Linked DNA regions of Styela clava. The protein of the gene in region 1 purifies or fractionates together with the protein of each later gene. This does not show direct contact. Links are inferred from orthologs where the notes say so. Each region holds a gene or a part of one and is shown in the gene's direction. Other genes may lie near its edges.

What was found.
Region 2: the proteins of ubiquitin conjugation factor E4 B-like (region 1) and ubiquitin-like protein 7 purify together in Homo sapiens (affinity purification with mass spectrometry; 3 studies listed by BioGRID and IntAct, counting the BioPlex papers as one, with this or other methods). This does not show direct contact. The link is inferred for Styela clava from reciprocal best matches to the Homo sapiens genes UBE4B and UBL7.

What each region holds. Positions count from the first base shown.
Region 1 is NC_135256.1:17,028,937-17,037,887, reverse strand, and holds the start of ubiquitin conjugation factor E4 B-like, read left to right. Parts: upstream 1-5,190; 5' UTR 5,191-6,719; coding exon 6,720-6,749; intron 6,750-7,076; coding exon 7,077-7,158; intron 7,159-7,711; coding exon 7,712-7,788; intron 7,789-8,239; coding exon 8,240-8,352; intron 8,353-8,877; coding exon 8,878-8,951. Other genes in the region: integrator complex subunit 6-B-like, read left to right, coding at 87-203, 310-471, 772-964, 1,362-1,507, 1,699-2,311, 2,696-2,832, 3,225-3,281. UniProt on the Homo sapiens protein: Ubiquitin-protein ligase that probably functions as an E3 ligase in conjunction with specific E1 and E2 ligases. May also function as an E4 ligase mediating the assembly of polyubiquitin chains on substrates ubiquitinated by another E3 ubiquitin ligase.
Region 2 is NC_135250.1:12,765,088-12,772,002, forward strand, and holds ubiquitin-like protein 7, read left to right. Parts: upstream 1-5,116; 5' UTR 5,117-5,119; coding exon 5,120-6,220; 3' UTR 6,221-6,353; downstream 6,354-6,915. Other genes in the region: developmentally-regulated GTP-binding protein 2-like, read left to right, coding at 2,952-4,046.

The sequences.
Region 1 (8,951 bases):
GTACTTGATATACACTTGTAAATAAGTTTATTTTTCATACTTTCAGCTTAAGTATGTCATTCACAGTTTTGAATATTTATCTTTAGGCTGTAAGAAAAGCAATGCGGCAACTTGGAGTTCCAAATCTTGTTCCAGATTCTCTTGAAGTTGGTCTTAGTCATTCTGTACTTTCATATTTCAAAAAATTGAAGCAACAGGCCAAGGTAAAAACTAAATTTTATTAGTTATTTCAAGCTATTCTATCAAAATGATATTATTTAACAATAAATGTTCATTTTATTACTTTATACCATTGTGTCTTGTTTACAGGCAAGTGCTGATAGAATAATGAATTCAGTGGGACACATACCTCCTTACGTCAACAAAGGAATCAGCATTTCTGGTCGATACAACACACTTTCTGTGACACAACTTCCCAATTTTAATCAAATTCTCGCTTCTGTAACTGAAAACGCATCCTTGATGCCAAAGGTAATGGTTTGCATTGATATTTTGATACCATTCAAGTCTCAGAGACAGATAAGTGATCCTTATCACGCGATGGAGTCAAAATGGAAAGACTCATTTAATCCAATAGCTTTTTTTACTCAATTATTGTACAGTAGGATCTGCATACTATCCACTGTATGTCTTCAAAATGCAAGATGTAGTTGCCGATTAAATATAGTTTTTTACAATAGAATAAGCTAGCATTAAATACAACATGCATTTGGTTATGTGATACATATACATAGAAGTCTTGTTACATGCCCCCCTGCTCTTTTACTACAGGTTGACTTGAATGAATTTCCCAATTTTCACATCGGGGTAAATTCGGGGGATGGTATGAAAGGAAGGCGGATGTATCATAATGCTTTTGATGTTCCAAGATCTCAACTTTTGAATCAAGTTCGGAAAATGAAAGTGAATTTCCACAGAGTTTTATCATCAAATCAGTTAACAAGAATAAGACTTCAAGACAAAGGTACCTTTTTAATAAAACCCCTTAGATCGGGTTTTACTAGTAGATATCATGGAATGCAGAGATTGGTTAACTACCCATCATTCATTTCATATTTTTTTTATATGATATCAAGAGTTGATTTTAAATCCTGTGAGGGGGAAATGTGAGAGAGGACAGCTGGACTCATTAGTGCCGTAGGGTGGTTAACATAGCCACTGATCGGTTGCGAATTTCTCCCCCATCATGCAGATGAAAAATACCTGGTCAACTATTCCCATTTCCCACTTGCTAACTGGTAACCAGACGAGAGACTATGGTTCAACATATGCTTAGGCCATTTGATCTATTTCCTCTAAAATTAAATAAATACCCTATCTGGTATTATACGGTTTGCTGAAACTTTTACATCTTGCTTTAGCTGAATTGCACAATCAACCAATTTCAACAATGGGAAACTACCAAGAATATTTGAAGAAATTTCCCCAACCACTTAGGGAACTTGATCCAGACACACCTAAACGACTTCACACATTTGGAAATCCATTCAAACTGGCAAAAGAAAAGGTAAATGTAACGTTTTGGCGGTTTTCTAGAAGAATTTCTAACAGGTTTGAGTAATGGTCCTTGGTATTACTAGTTTATCTTCAATGTACAGCATAAAATTAATTTAATGACCTGGGAAGTCTGGGCTGGTATAAAAGTTTTGTCATTTATAATCTGAATATTGGTAGTTAATTGGATTTTCCATCCTGTAGGGCATGATGATTGATGAAACAGAAGATTATGATGCACCATCATCTGGTAATAAATCAGGTAGATCAGGCGATGCCGGAAAAAGAAACAGGAGAAAGCGATCAGCTAGTCCAATGCGACCCGGTACACCACCTGTGTTTAAGAAGAGTCATTTATCCACACCTGGTTTCGTCAACAATCAAACCAACCCTGCTGCTGTGGTTACCAACCATCAGACTACTGATAATCATAATTCTTTACCTCATGCTTTTTTAAATGGAGAAACTCGTCCTCCCAATGGTGCTTTAGAACTGACTGAACCATCTGCAATTAAAACGACTCCTTCTGATATTGCAGCCAAGCTGCAAGCATTGAAATCTAATTTAAAGCATAATATGTCGGAAATGATAGAACTGGAGCCAAAATTGAAGCATTCAGACTTACTCAATGGTAAAGGATCTGATAATATGTCACTAAGTGATTCAATGGGTTTAACAAATGACAGTGTATGGAAAACTATGCATAGAAAACACAAACAGAAAAAACCCAAATCTAATAAAGCAACTGCAGAAATTGAAAACGCAAACTCTAGCATCAAGGATACAGTAATTAAGTTTGTCAGAAAACCAGGAAAAAGTAAGTACACATAAAATAAGAACTTCCACTGTTAATTGGACTGATTACTGTAACTGATGCTAAGCTTATCTTTTATGGGTATGGTATTTTCTATCAAGGCTATCACTGGACTTCATCATTACTGTAACTGAAGATATGCTTATGGGATTTTCTATCAAGGCTATCACTTGAGAGATTAAATGAGTTTTATGCAAATAGTTGAAATGTAACTTCCTCGAGTGAATCCCATCACTAAATCATTGATTTGATTTTAGTAATTCCGTTATGATGACATTAGTACAGCCACCTTCCTCATTTGATGGATTAAATTCACTTCTTATTGCAGTTACCATTTCATCAGCATTTGCATATTTTGAATTGTCCAACATTTTTTTTTATCTGTAGATGACATCAATATTTTCAACGAGCTTCAAAAATTAAAAGGTCCTAAGTCAAGTTGGCATCCAGTGTTGTGTTCTGTGATCAAAGAAGCACATCGTTTTAAAAAAGATAACTTAATTCAGCACTTGAAAAAATTTGAAGTAGGTAGTAAAGGTTATAATATAAGATGAGAAATAATATTATTTTTATTAATCAAGATTAAAACAAAATATACAATGCAATGTGTTAATGATGACTTTGTTATGAAATAAGGTCATGATGCTAATGACTGGCATATAATGTTATTTCACCTTGCATGTCTATATGTATAATGTATATGGTAATGTATGCCCATTGTAATGCAATCTAAATGGCGGTATATAGAGCCTGTATTCACATCAGTTTGGAAGTTGCCTCATACTAAATTTATTTTGAAAAGCAAACTAATGTGATTAATTTACTGTGTGATATCAAATTTTAATATTATTTGCCCACAACATTGCTATCTGGTGCCATTAATTTTTTCTCAAAGCTGAATATTATTGTTGCACAGGAAACATTAGAGAAACATTTGGCTTCATCACCGCAACCGCACAAAGTTGATAGATGACAGAATAAAAATTATGCTGTGGAGCACAATAAAGACAAAGGATGATGGTGATCATTTCGTGTGATATTGGCGGATGCTGAAGTGACAGAATTGCTGACTTTATGAAGTATCAGTGTTTGCTGGAAGGTTGAGGCGCTGAGAAATAAAAGTAAACACCTGTTGAATTGACCTGTTCTGTGGTGCTTTCATCTCAGTTTAAAATTCTTCTAATGTTCAGTTTCAATAAGATGAAAACATTTTATATTGTTCCAGATCATAGGTGTTGTTGCAATTCTAACTATCCTCGGATAATAATGGATTATCCTTTATCCTCTTTAGATATACAATACTGATATTTCCTGATCTTCAGTTTGATCATATTTGGTCTTTCTTATATTAACACAATTTTTTCAATTTGTCTTTGTATTCTTCTGCAGGATTTTTGTTTCTAAGTGAATTTTTTTATATGTCCAATTTAAGTTTCCACACACCAAGCTGACTGTTGTTATCATGTGATATTGCTCTGTTTTGAGCTGTTTGTTCCAAAATGTGAGAAATGCACCAGTGGTCTATTTTTGCTTGAATTCGGGTAGGTATGGAGAGTGGTCTTGAAATTGAAAGCTGATATGGTTATTTTAAAGCTGGTGCAGATAGATTTATCATTGCATGTAGAACAGTTTTCACATCAGGTCCAAAGATAAAAAAATAATTAGAAATTGTATCTGTGAAGCGATGCGAAGGGTCGGCGACCTATCCAAGAAACTATGCACTAGAAGGAATCCATACACTGATAAATTGTTTGGGCAGAATATTGCCCTTTGAGCATGGAAATGGCTAGGAGACTTTGAAATACTGGGTGATAAATCATCTGGTTCAGCATCCACATTTTCCACTCTCACAGGATAACTCCGTCTGACCAATGACAACATATATTCAGAAATCTTGATATATACAGTATATATTGGGAATATATATTCTCATTGGGCTGACTTTGATAGAAGTGAAAAGAGATTATATTGGGATAAGTTTCAACCATCGTTATTTCTTCGTTCAAATAATGATTCTTATCCTTGAGGTAATATCATACTTAACCCGTAAATTAGAGCAACAACGAGTTGATAGAGATTCATTATATTCATTTATCTGGCGGCCCCACGACTGAGGGAAATGTGTGTATGTGTCACTTCTGGCGGATTCGCCTGATGATGACTCAGCTGTTTGTCAGCATTTTCTTTCTTTCCAGTCGTTCGCCCATGTTGTTGTTGCTATGCATTTACAGAATTTTGCAATTGTCACTCTGCCACAGAATGTGTACAGCGCAGTCGATATGTTTAGTTGAGCTTGACAGACAGACAGAAGGAATGGTTCCACCAAGAGACCAAAGCTACGAGGTTAGGTAGACACATACAGGCATCTGGACACGTCTGCATGTTCAGATGTTGCAGTGTTCAGTGACTGTCTGAAAGTTGGCCCGGAAGGTCATTGTCTTAAGCTACGGTAAGTTAGGTCAGTAAGTACAATACGGTTGTAAGGTCTGAAGGTAGGTGTTATCTGGTTATAGCACAGTGCTGCAGTGATATAAGGAAATAATGAATATGGTATGGTAGGTAATGCAATGCCTGAATTCAGCAATAATTCATCTATCAGTCTATTTTGAAAATGTCTCACTTCATACTGTTATCCATGTTTGTTGGTAATTTAAACTAAACGGAGTTTCAATCAATCAATTTCATTTCGATCACTCTGAAAGAAACAAAACAACAACAAACTGACAAACAAAATGCAGAGGATGATGGGCATAACTTACAAAAAAAGTTTAAAACGTACAAGTACAGAAGTACATGCCCCTCCATCAAAAACAGTCAAAAGAACACTATAAAAGTCTATAACAGCTTCTCCTGTTCTCTGTCATGTTCGAAATGCGCTGCTCAAAGTCACCTGTCTAACAATTTTGAAAACAGTTGGTACAGTGGTAGCATGAAAGTCTAATTACTGAATTGAGGCCAGCTAAATGCTTGACCATATTAATAAACTTTATGCTGTCACCACTGTCAGACTGTAGACAATTTTTGCTTTGAACACAGCTTAAGTCTGTAAGATTTTTTTTGTTATCTCTTGACATCTTTGATAGACATATTCCTGTATTCATCTTTCATTTTCTCCAAAAATGATATCATTTTTTCCATTACAGTATCTCTTTATTACTATTGCTGTATTGTGACATAAATTTCTTCATAAGTACAAGACTCATGAGAGGCTACAAATTATTGTTTTATACAACGGTTGGTGGTATTGTGTATTACACTATGTACTGGAGCATTATGAAAGATTCCAGTCAAATAAAGATAAAGAAAAATATGAAGTATACAAATCCTGATGACAAAGGTACTCAAGAATTGAATCAAAAGTTTATGAAAGTTCTCAAAGATGCAGCAGCACTTGATGAAAATATTGTTTATCGAGATTTTAATAGAAAAAATAAATAAAAGGTTGTTTCTATTCACTAACTGAAGAAAGAAGTTATTGTTGTTTTCATCCAGGAAAAGTTTTTTTTTCCAATGGGAAGCAAAAAGTAATCCATGTTACAGACTCATGGTAGGTTAGCGGTGGCACAACAGTACCGCATATATCAGGCCAATCATCAGGAAAACAATTCAGACCAGTGGTTCTCAAACGTTCATAATCGATGGTCCCCTTCCTGAGACTTTCAATAATTGTGGCTTCTTACTCTTTTATAAAAATACATGCTTTTTCTTTAGGTTATGTGTCATATTTAATAATAAAAAAGCCAACGAAATAAAAATTCATCATCATTCAGTCATTACAGTCAAATTATGTTAAATTAATGTAGTCATGCCGCAGTCGGGGGTCCAGTTGTACAAAACTGATAGCAATCCATGGTCATTGGTTTGGTGTGTGATAAAGTGAGGTATGGAACAAAGGTAACAAATGTGTCAATAAGTTCAAATTTTGCCCATAAGGCCAAAAGCAAATGTCTAAACCTGGTTGTTGGATTTTGAGAGTGTTATGTATGACTTTTCTTTTGGAATAAGGCATCCATCCAATGTTTTTTGTCGGTCATCGTGGACTAGACTCCATTACGACTCACTTACAGTAGAAAAGAATCTGATGATTTTTGTCATACTGATAAAATATGATAAGTTTTGTCACTCCTATTATTAGTGTTCCAGATCAAAGATTCAAAATACCGGTATTGAATATAGTTCAACATCACACATCTGGGTTGTCTTTTGTCTTATAACGACTCCATGTCTGAGATGTACTTATGCTTATTGTACTAAACTTATATTTACTTGTGCTTTTGATGGTTTATTAATTAACCTAATTTGTGTTCAACATTATTATGTTTTTAGATAAATTAAGAATAATTATTCTAGACAAAATTAATTTTTGTATGATTCACTTGGGTCGGCTGTTACACAAATACCTACCACTGAAATGAGTGAAAACACAATCACTCAAGATGAGGTAAGAATTGAATAAAATTACGGTATGCTTTTACCGTACATGGTAAACAGTTTGGTTATATTTTTTTTGTAATAAAATAAAAATGTCCTATAGGATATATTTCACAACGAAAGGACTTGGGCCATGGTATAGTTGTACAAGTTGATAACTGGGAGTATTTCTTCATGTGACATGGAATATTAAGATAAGAATTATAGACCTATTGCTATAATGATTAAATCATATTTCTGGGCATCATTTACATATAATTTTAATATTGGATTTCTTTACTTGTTGAGTAAGCGATTTTCAGTTTGTTTGCATTTTTTACCGACATTTTTGATGCAGATGCGAAGACGCCGGCTTGCACGCTTAGGCGGAGATACTAGCTCCCCACAGTCAACTCCAGTAGATAAAGAAAGCAAAAAAGGTTCATAAATATTTTCTAATTTGCATATTGTTATACAACGAAATCTGACTCCCAAAAAGTGTACAGAAGTACCTTTACATTCATGCATATATCAGAGTTGTGAGCATATACATTGCAATATGGTTGTGCTAACATGTACATGCGTTTGAGCAAGATTGGAAGCATAAAAAATGGTTATTTGTGAATCATAATTTTAAAATATATTTGAAAAGTGTTTCTTTTCTTTCATTCTCTCAAAATTCCTGGTTTGTTTCTACCGCTTTCTTTCCAAACAACACACTTTTTATTTCTGCTCAGCAGTTTACCGAGATAAAAATCACTGGAATTGAGCATGATCTTTCTGTATGCATAAGTTTTTTGAAGTGTCTAATCGAGTTTATATCTATATATAACCCACCGTTTTCCTTTCATCTAATCCTTGCGAAGACTGTCTTTTTATGTCTCAAGCAAAGTAATCAATACCATACCAATACATGCTTATTGGCTGGAGCCGCTTCATTGATTTGTCACTGATCATATCTAAATTCATGCTTTATTGAACATTATTTGACAGGAAACTCTAAATCTCTAGATACTTCACCAGAATTTTCAAGTCCAAGATATAAAGTAGCGAGATCTTCAGCAACAAGTGTGAGTTTTTATTCAAGTCATTGTTGAATAAGTATCAGTATTCAACTGAAATTGAAAAACTTTGAATTTAAATTTTTTATGTTTTATGAGGTTGATATCTTGAAGTTGTATGTTAGGTTTAGGAAAGTGATTCCATATTGAAGCCATTATCACGATTTTGAGCAACAAATACGACATGCATTTGGCTTGGAAAGTAAGATGAATGGATGGATGGTTTTATTCAGAGACAATTTCCCATTGACAAATTGTTTTTATGGCGATATGACCTGGCTATCACTTTGGCTATAGATGGCTAATTTCTGCAATAAAATTTTGATATGCACTATAAATTGAATCAAGATTTCACTGAATATGGCAAACAAAAGATTTATTATTTGATATTCCAAAGCATGTATTTTGAATAAAATAAAATCTGATGTTTCTGATACTGACAATAATTTTATTTTTGCAGTCATTGGCAAGTGATAGCAGTAGCATACCACATTCTCAAGCAGAAGATGATGATATTTTGTCTCCAAATCCAAAGCGCCCTCTGGAAGTTTTAACTGGTGCTATAAGTTCTAGGTAATATATACAAATGAATTTTTTGCTAACAGTTATGCTGTCAAACTCAGACAATTATATTCAGACATTAGTCTATATAAAAGGGATCATTTTAGATAGTGTTTGACACACATAACGGAGCAAATATATTTTCACATATACGACTAGACACATTTCTGCTGTTAATTTTTTAATATGCAACTTACTTGCTATGATGGTACTAATAACGTAGGGGCCTACTATAATGTACTATGTGTACAATTGTCATGATCAGTCATCTGTGAAAATACTAGTTGCCAGAAATACAATAAAAATACAGTTACACTGCATTCCTTCACGAAGAGAAAATATGATTCTTTAATCATGTTGAGTCAAAGTTATGACAGAAAAGCCATCAAAATGTATGAAAAAGCGAATCCACTTTTTGGAGAATTCATGAAATCGCTGCCTGTTATCATCTGTGACTAGAATTAAGAAACAAAAAATAAATTTAGCGCAGGGATGTTCAAAATGAAATAAATAATCATCAATAATATTTAAATGTAGCATATCAATGGATGTGGATTCTGGTATTGCTTCATTGAATGATTATGTTGACAATATGATATCAACTCAGACTG
Region 2 (6,915 bases), on another chromosome or scaffold:
ACCTTACATATTCGACTTTACTATTCTAGAACAGTAACAGCACGTTTTGATTTGGTCATTTATATTACCAAACATAGCGTGTTTTTTAAAATTTTACATCAAAATGGACGTAACGAATTTAAAAAGTTTTCATTTCAACTTAATTTGCTGGATAATTGATCAAATATATTTTTCGCCTTGTTCAGTATTGATGTGTGACTGAGAAAAAATTATATTTGAACAAGTATTCAGTAATTTCGTTTAAAATATGACAGCTTTATAAATTTTTAACGTTAGCATTATTCAAAAATTGAAGAATATACTCTATGTTTGATGTTATATATGGCCAAATCAAATTGTGCTTCTACTGTTGTGGTTTAGTGGAATCGAATCTTTAATGTATCTTCGATTATCCGAAAGTGTCGTAATGCTGCCTTTATTGGCGGTTTTCAAGAAACCGTCACTCTAAAAGCGTATGTTTGGGAAAATTAAAAAAAAGTTATAGTGCGTAATCCACAAGGTATCTGCTTTTCTCCGAATGTGTCGTAGTGCTGCCTTTATTGGGGTTTTTCGAGAAATCGCTATTTCAAACACGATTAATTTTTTAAAAGTAAAAAAATCCACCAGAGGGCTTAAACGAGTTTTGGTATTTTATTCTTTCCGCCACCCATTCCAAGTTTAGACGTACAGTAATAATGTGCGACAAAGAAAAAAAAGATATTTAATTAATTATCCAGCAAATTTGGTTGAAACTCAAACCATTTTTAAATTGTTACTTTTACGTTGTTTATAAAATTGAAGAATATAAGCTATGTTTGGTGTTATATAGGACCAAGTCAAAACGTGCTGCTACTGTTCTGACATGATAAAATCGAATCTATAACGTATGTGCTTTTCTCCGAATGGGTGTGATGTTGCCTTTATTGGCGGTTTTCGAGAAATCGCCACTCCATGAACCATAATTTTCGAAATTTTAAAACAAATTCACGAGGGTGCGTAAAATGTTTTTTATTATTTTATACTTTCTGAAACCTATTCTAAGTTTAATAGACATATTGATGTGCGACAAGGAGAAAAATATATTTGATAATAATCCAGCAAATTTAGTTGAAATACAAAGCACTTTTTAAATATGTTACGTCTGCATTGTTTATGAAATTTTGAATTCACGCTATGTTTAGCAATATATTTGGCCAAGTTTAAACGTGCTGCTATTGTTCTGACATAATGAAATCTAATCTATAACGTATCTGCTTTTCTCCGAATGTGTTGTAGTGCTGCCTTTATTGGCGGTTTTTGAGAAATCGCCCTTATAAAAACGATATTTTTTAGAATAATGAAAAGAATCCACGCGTAAAATGATTTTTATTATTTTATACTTTCCGCAACTCATTCCAAGTTTAATGGACGTACAGAATATATGTATGTCCAAAAGAAAAAGATGTTTGATAAATTATCTAGTAAATTAGTTGAAATACCAAACGGTTTTTAAATATGTTACGTCTGCATTGTTTATTACATTTTGAATACACGCTATGTTTGGTATTATATATGGCCAAGTCAAAACGTGCTGCTACTGTTCTGACATAATGAAATCAAATCTATAAGGTATCTGCTTTTCTCCGAATGTGTCGTAGTGCCGCCTTTATTAGCGGTTTTTGAGAAATTGCCCTTTCAAAAACGATATTTTTTCGAAATTCCGAAAATATCCATCATTTTTTGTTATTTTAAGATTTGCCTCTTATTCCAAGTTTAATGAACGTACAGTTTTGATGTATGACCAAGAGAGAAAAGTATTTGATGAATTATCCAGTAACTTTGGTTGAAATACCAAACCGTTTTTAAATATGTTACATCTACATAGTTGATAAAATTGAAAATTTTATGCTATATTTGGTATCATATATGGCCAAGTTAAAACGTGCTGCTACTGTTCTGACATATTAAAATCGAATCTATAGGATATCTGCTTTTCTCCGAATGTGTCGTAGTGCTGCCTTTATTGGCGGTTTTTGAGAAATCGCCCTTTCAAAAACGATAATTTTGTGATATTTATTAAAGAATCCACAAGAGGGCGTAATTTTTTTTTGGTATTTTAGACTTTCCTCAACTTATTCTAAGTTTATTAAAGTGCATTATTGTTGTGTGACAAAGAGGAAAATATCTTCTTTTATGAACTCCAGTAAATTTAGTTGAAACACAAAATCAGTTTTAAATTTGTTGTATATACATTGTGCATAAAATTGAAAATTATACGCTATGTTTAGTATTATATATGGCCAAGTCAAAACGTGCTGAGACTGTTCTGACATAATGAAATCGAATCTTTGAGGTTTCTACTTTTTACCAATGGTGTTGCAATGCTGCCTTTATTGGAGGTTTTCATGAAACGACCGTCTTAAACGACGAAAATTCAGTCATTTTTAAACAACTCTCAAAAAAGTATAAAAAATTTTTATGCACTGTAACAGACGCTTTAGCTTGTTTACTATATATTAACAATAAGAGGAGTGTAGTTAATGATTGTTTTGCTTTATTTGCTATTGTGAAACTAATCAAAATATACACCTTCTTTTAAAAATCATTGGGAACATTTAATTTTACGCGTGGGTATTTTCTGCGATTCTGTCAGTCACAATTTTGTGTTTTGCTGATAGCTTCACAAAGGGTACGGCAATGTAGCGCATCACTCTGCTTTAGAGGCTCAGATTTTGTTGAGCCAGGCCAACTAGAAGTGCATGTGGTACAAAACTATACATACCGATCTATTTGCTAAATTTGTAAATGCTATCAAGTTTTATTGAATACTGTTTTTCAATTCAGCAGTTAATGTAATAGTGAATGTGGACTGGGAAAAACCCTATAAAAATTATTCTGTAAATTACTGAATTTGAAAGATAATTAGACTATCAAGCTCTAGTTTGCTTCTGGAATTCAAATTGGAGAGAACGCTCGTAAGTTTCTTATAAACCATGGGTATCTTAGAGAAGATATCGGAAGTTGAGAAGGAAATTCAAAGGACACAAAAAAACAAAGCCACTGAATATCATCTTGGGCTGCTGAAAGCTAAACTAGCAAAGTATAGAGCTCAACTTCTTGAAGGGCCAAAGGGATCTGGACAAAAAGGGGAAGGTTTTGATGTCATGAAATCGGGTGATGCCCGCGTAGCTCTCATTGGATTTCCTTCTGTCGGCAAATCAACTCTATTGTCTACGTTAACCAACACGGAAAGTGAGCAAGCATCTTATGAGTTCACAACTTTGACTTGCATCCCTGGAGTAATTGAATATAATGGGGCGAATATTCAACTTCTTGATTTACCAGGAATTATCGAAGGTGCAGCGGGTGGTAAAGGTCGAGGTCGTCAAGTCATTGCAGTTGGTAGAACAGCAGATGTTGTTGTTATGATGCTGGATGCTGCAAAGGGTGAAAAACAGAAAGAACTCCTCACCCTAGAGTTAGAAGCCGTGGGAATTCGTCTCAACAAAAAGGTTCCAAATATTTACTTCAAACTTAAAAAAGGTGGAGGACTGTCATTCAACTCTACATGCGTGTTGACAAAAATAAACGAGAAAATGGTTCAACTAATCCTTCACGAATACAAGATTTTTAATGCTGAAGTTCTCTTTCGCGATGATTATGGACCAGACGAATTTATTGATGTTGTAGTTGGGAATAGAAAATATATGTCATGCCTTTATGTTTACAATAAAATTGATCAAATTTCAATTGAGGAGGTTGACAGGATCGCACGACAACCACATAGTGTTGTCATCAGTTGCAACATGAAATTGAATTTAGACTATCTACTCGAAAAAATGTGGGAGTATTTGGCTCTTATGACTGTATATACAAAAAAGCCTGCAAAAAAGCCAGACTTTAGTGATGGGTTGATTTTACGTGCAAATTGTACTGTGGAGCATGCTTGCCATGCTGTGCATAGATCGTTAGTATCAGGTTTTAAATATGCTCAAGTCTGGGGAAGGAGCGCAAAATACAATGGTCAACATGTAGGCTTGACTCACCAATTATGTCACGAAGATGTTTTACAAATTGTTAAAAAGTGAATATGTAGAACAAAATATATGTAGTGAACTAGGATCTAGTTCACTTTTGTTCGGTGTGACCCGTCCTATGCCAGCAGACAATGATTGGTGATAAAGCAACCTTCCTTAATTAATTTGACTGATCATACTGCTTGAATACCTGGTGATGGCAGAATCAAAATTGTTCCTCCGCAAAATAAAAAACACATATTTGATACTTGTATTTGAATATGATTGTCTTTTATGTTATCGAATAGTCACATCTTTCAGAATTTTATAATTTCAGTAACAAGCTGCTAAATTAAAATTTTTATGATCATTAGGCCTGTTTAAATGTAATTTTGAAATTCAATTTTTGATCGATTGAACTATCTCCACTCTTGTATGTGCAGGGTGACCCCCAAAGAACAGAACCCATAACTTTCTTATAAAGTGATTTATTGTACCCGAAAGTTTCAGCAATGTAAGACGCTCCGCACAAAAATTATGTTAACTCTTAGAGTCTAGAATATATCCTGAATGACCTGGGTTGTGTTTTTTTAGGTCACCCTGTTCGAGGCTTTTATGTTGACATATTTCCCAAATAAGTAGGACATATGGGTATAACAGTTCAAATGTTTATGGCCTCACAAATGTGGGCATTTTTACTGTGAAAAATCTTCTTGTACAGAATTGTATGATAGTAAGTTATATTTATGTAAGCATAAGGCATGGTCATTTCTGGCGATTTTCCCACTCAGAAAAAGGTTGATGTATTGAATGCAATGTCCGTTTAATTTGGGATACAACCATCCATGCAAATCAATCAAACAAATTTTCACAATGTATGAAAAACACCTTTCTTGGATAAAATGAAAGTTGTTCAAATAAATATATTAGTTTTTTTATATGGAAATGGAATGCCTCTACCATATATCAGAATTGACTAATTCCATATTATTACGTAGCAGTATTGTACAAGTGTGGCGAGTGGCGACCTTGTTCTTTTGAAATTCAACTTATTCCTAATAAATCAATTCTGTATTAAAACAACTTTATTACAGTTAACTGTCATTTTTGTTTTGCCATTTAGATTATCTGATGAATTACAAAGCATGGAGAACTCATTCAAGCTCCATGTGTCTTATATAGATAATGAAAATATCCACAGATCTGAGCAGATAGTTTTGGATGTGCAATCACCTATTTATAAACAATTTAGAGAAAAAATCAATTCAACATTTGGTTTATCTTCGGATGATTACGAGTTGTATTTTGGATTGAAACGGTTAGACTGTAATCCTGACCAAGAGATGAAGGAGTGGGGATTGCAGTCAGGTAATAGACTCCATGCTATTAGAAAGAAATTACCATCAACAAAACAGGATGTTCCGAAGATAGATTACGCTAAAGTACAAAATGCTTCTTATGGTTTGGCTACCATGATTCAACATGAGAATCGATCGCATAAAAAATCAGCACTTACCAAACTTTTTGAAGATAAAAAAACTATTGACAAAATTATTTCAAACATATCAGGGCTCAGAGAGGACCGTGCAGCAATGGATATTCTGCAGAATGCAAAGTTGTTTAAAGTTATAGTTAATCCAAAATATTTGAAAAATATTGTTGAAAAGCACCCTTGTTTGGCCATAGCTTTTGAGGCAATGTGGAATACATTGATGACCTCCAGTAAATACTCCAATACAGCAGCTTCCACAAGCAGTACGGTTTCTATGGACGTGGATGCGGGTCAGTCAAATGAAAGTCATCCTTCATCTTCAAACCAAGCTTCTAATATGATAACTTTGTCTCAATTATCTGCCGCTATTGCGCAAGCGACACCACCAAGTGAGGGCTACAATTTTCCATATTCAGCTTTCAATACACCAAACTCAAACACAACCAGTAATACATCAACTACACCTCAAGAAAGAAATGAAACCAGACCTCAGCAGCTCACACCAGAAGCTTTAAACCAAGCGATGCAAGAAGCATTAATGTCAACTGGTCTTCGAGAAGTCTCTCAATCTCTACAAAGTGAAAGTTCTGCTCCAAGAAGCAATGATTCTGTGTTAAGTGAGGATGTAATGCGAGCAGGACTTGAACAGCTTCATTCAATGGGTATAACTGATGATGAAGCCAGTAGGCATGCATTAACTGCAACACAAGGAAATGTTGAAGCGGCAATCAATATATTATTTAGTGGAAATTGAGATATCGATTCTTGAATGATAATTTAGCTTTTTCACAATGTACCCTTGACTTAGCTGTTAAGGAAGTCTATTTTCCGATAACTTATTTCTTCCTTTGCCACTTATAAAAATAAAAGTTTATTGCTCTGGTAAATTTGCAGATTTAATATTATTTTCAATTTTGTAGATTAAGTGAGGGCCATCATTCTCATACAAGCATGATTGATTGCTCTTATATTATAGCGCTTATTAACTGAACCTGCAGTCTCCTATTCCAACAGAGCAGTGCTGAAAAATAAATTAAGAAGAAATACTTTGGAGTTCTAAATGAAATGGAAAAAACCTAACTTTGTGTGCAGCTAGTAAACTAATATCCCTTTTCAAAGGAGTAGTTGGTGGGAATTCGTATTAGAAGTTAAAGAAGTGAATCCACAGCCCAAGTTTTCGACTACAATAAAGAAGGGAGCCAAGGCTGAAAAAATCGAATTCTAGATTCACCAAGTCGGTCCTGGTTTAAATCTTTAATGTGAACTGTGATCGGCCGCACCTCTGCGCAAAAATTAGCCTGTTAGCTCCAGATTGAACAATATTATATATAGTGACACAGACACTCCATCAGGTTAGCTTACTACACATACCTTTAAACTGAAGGTACTCAGGTGCAACAGTTGTGTATACACTTTTCAGACCACGAAGTGGGTGAGGACCGCCTTGGG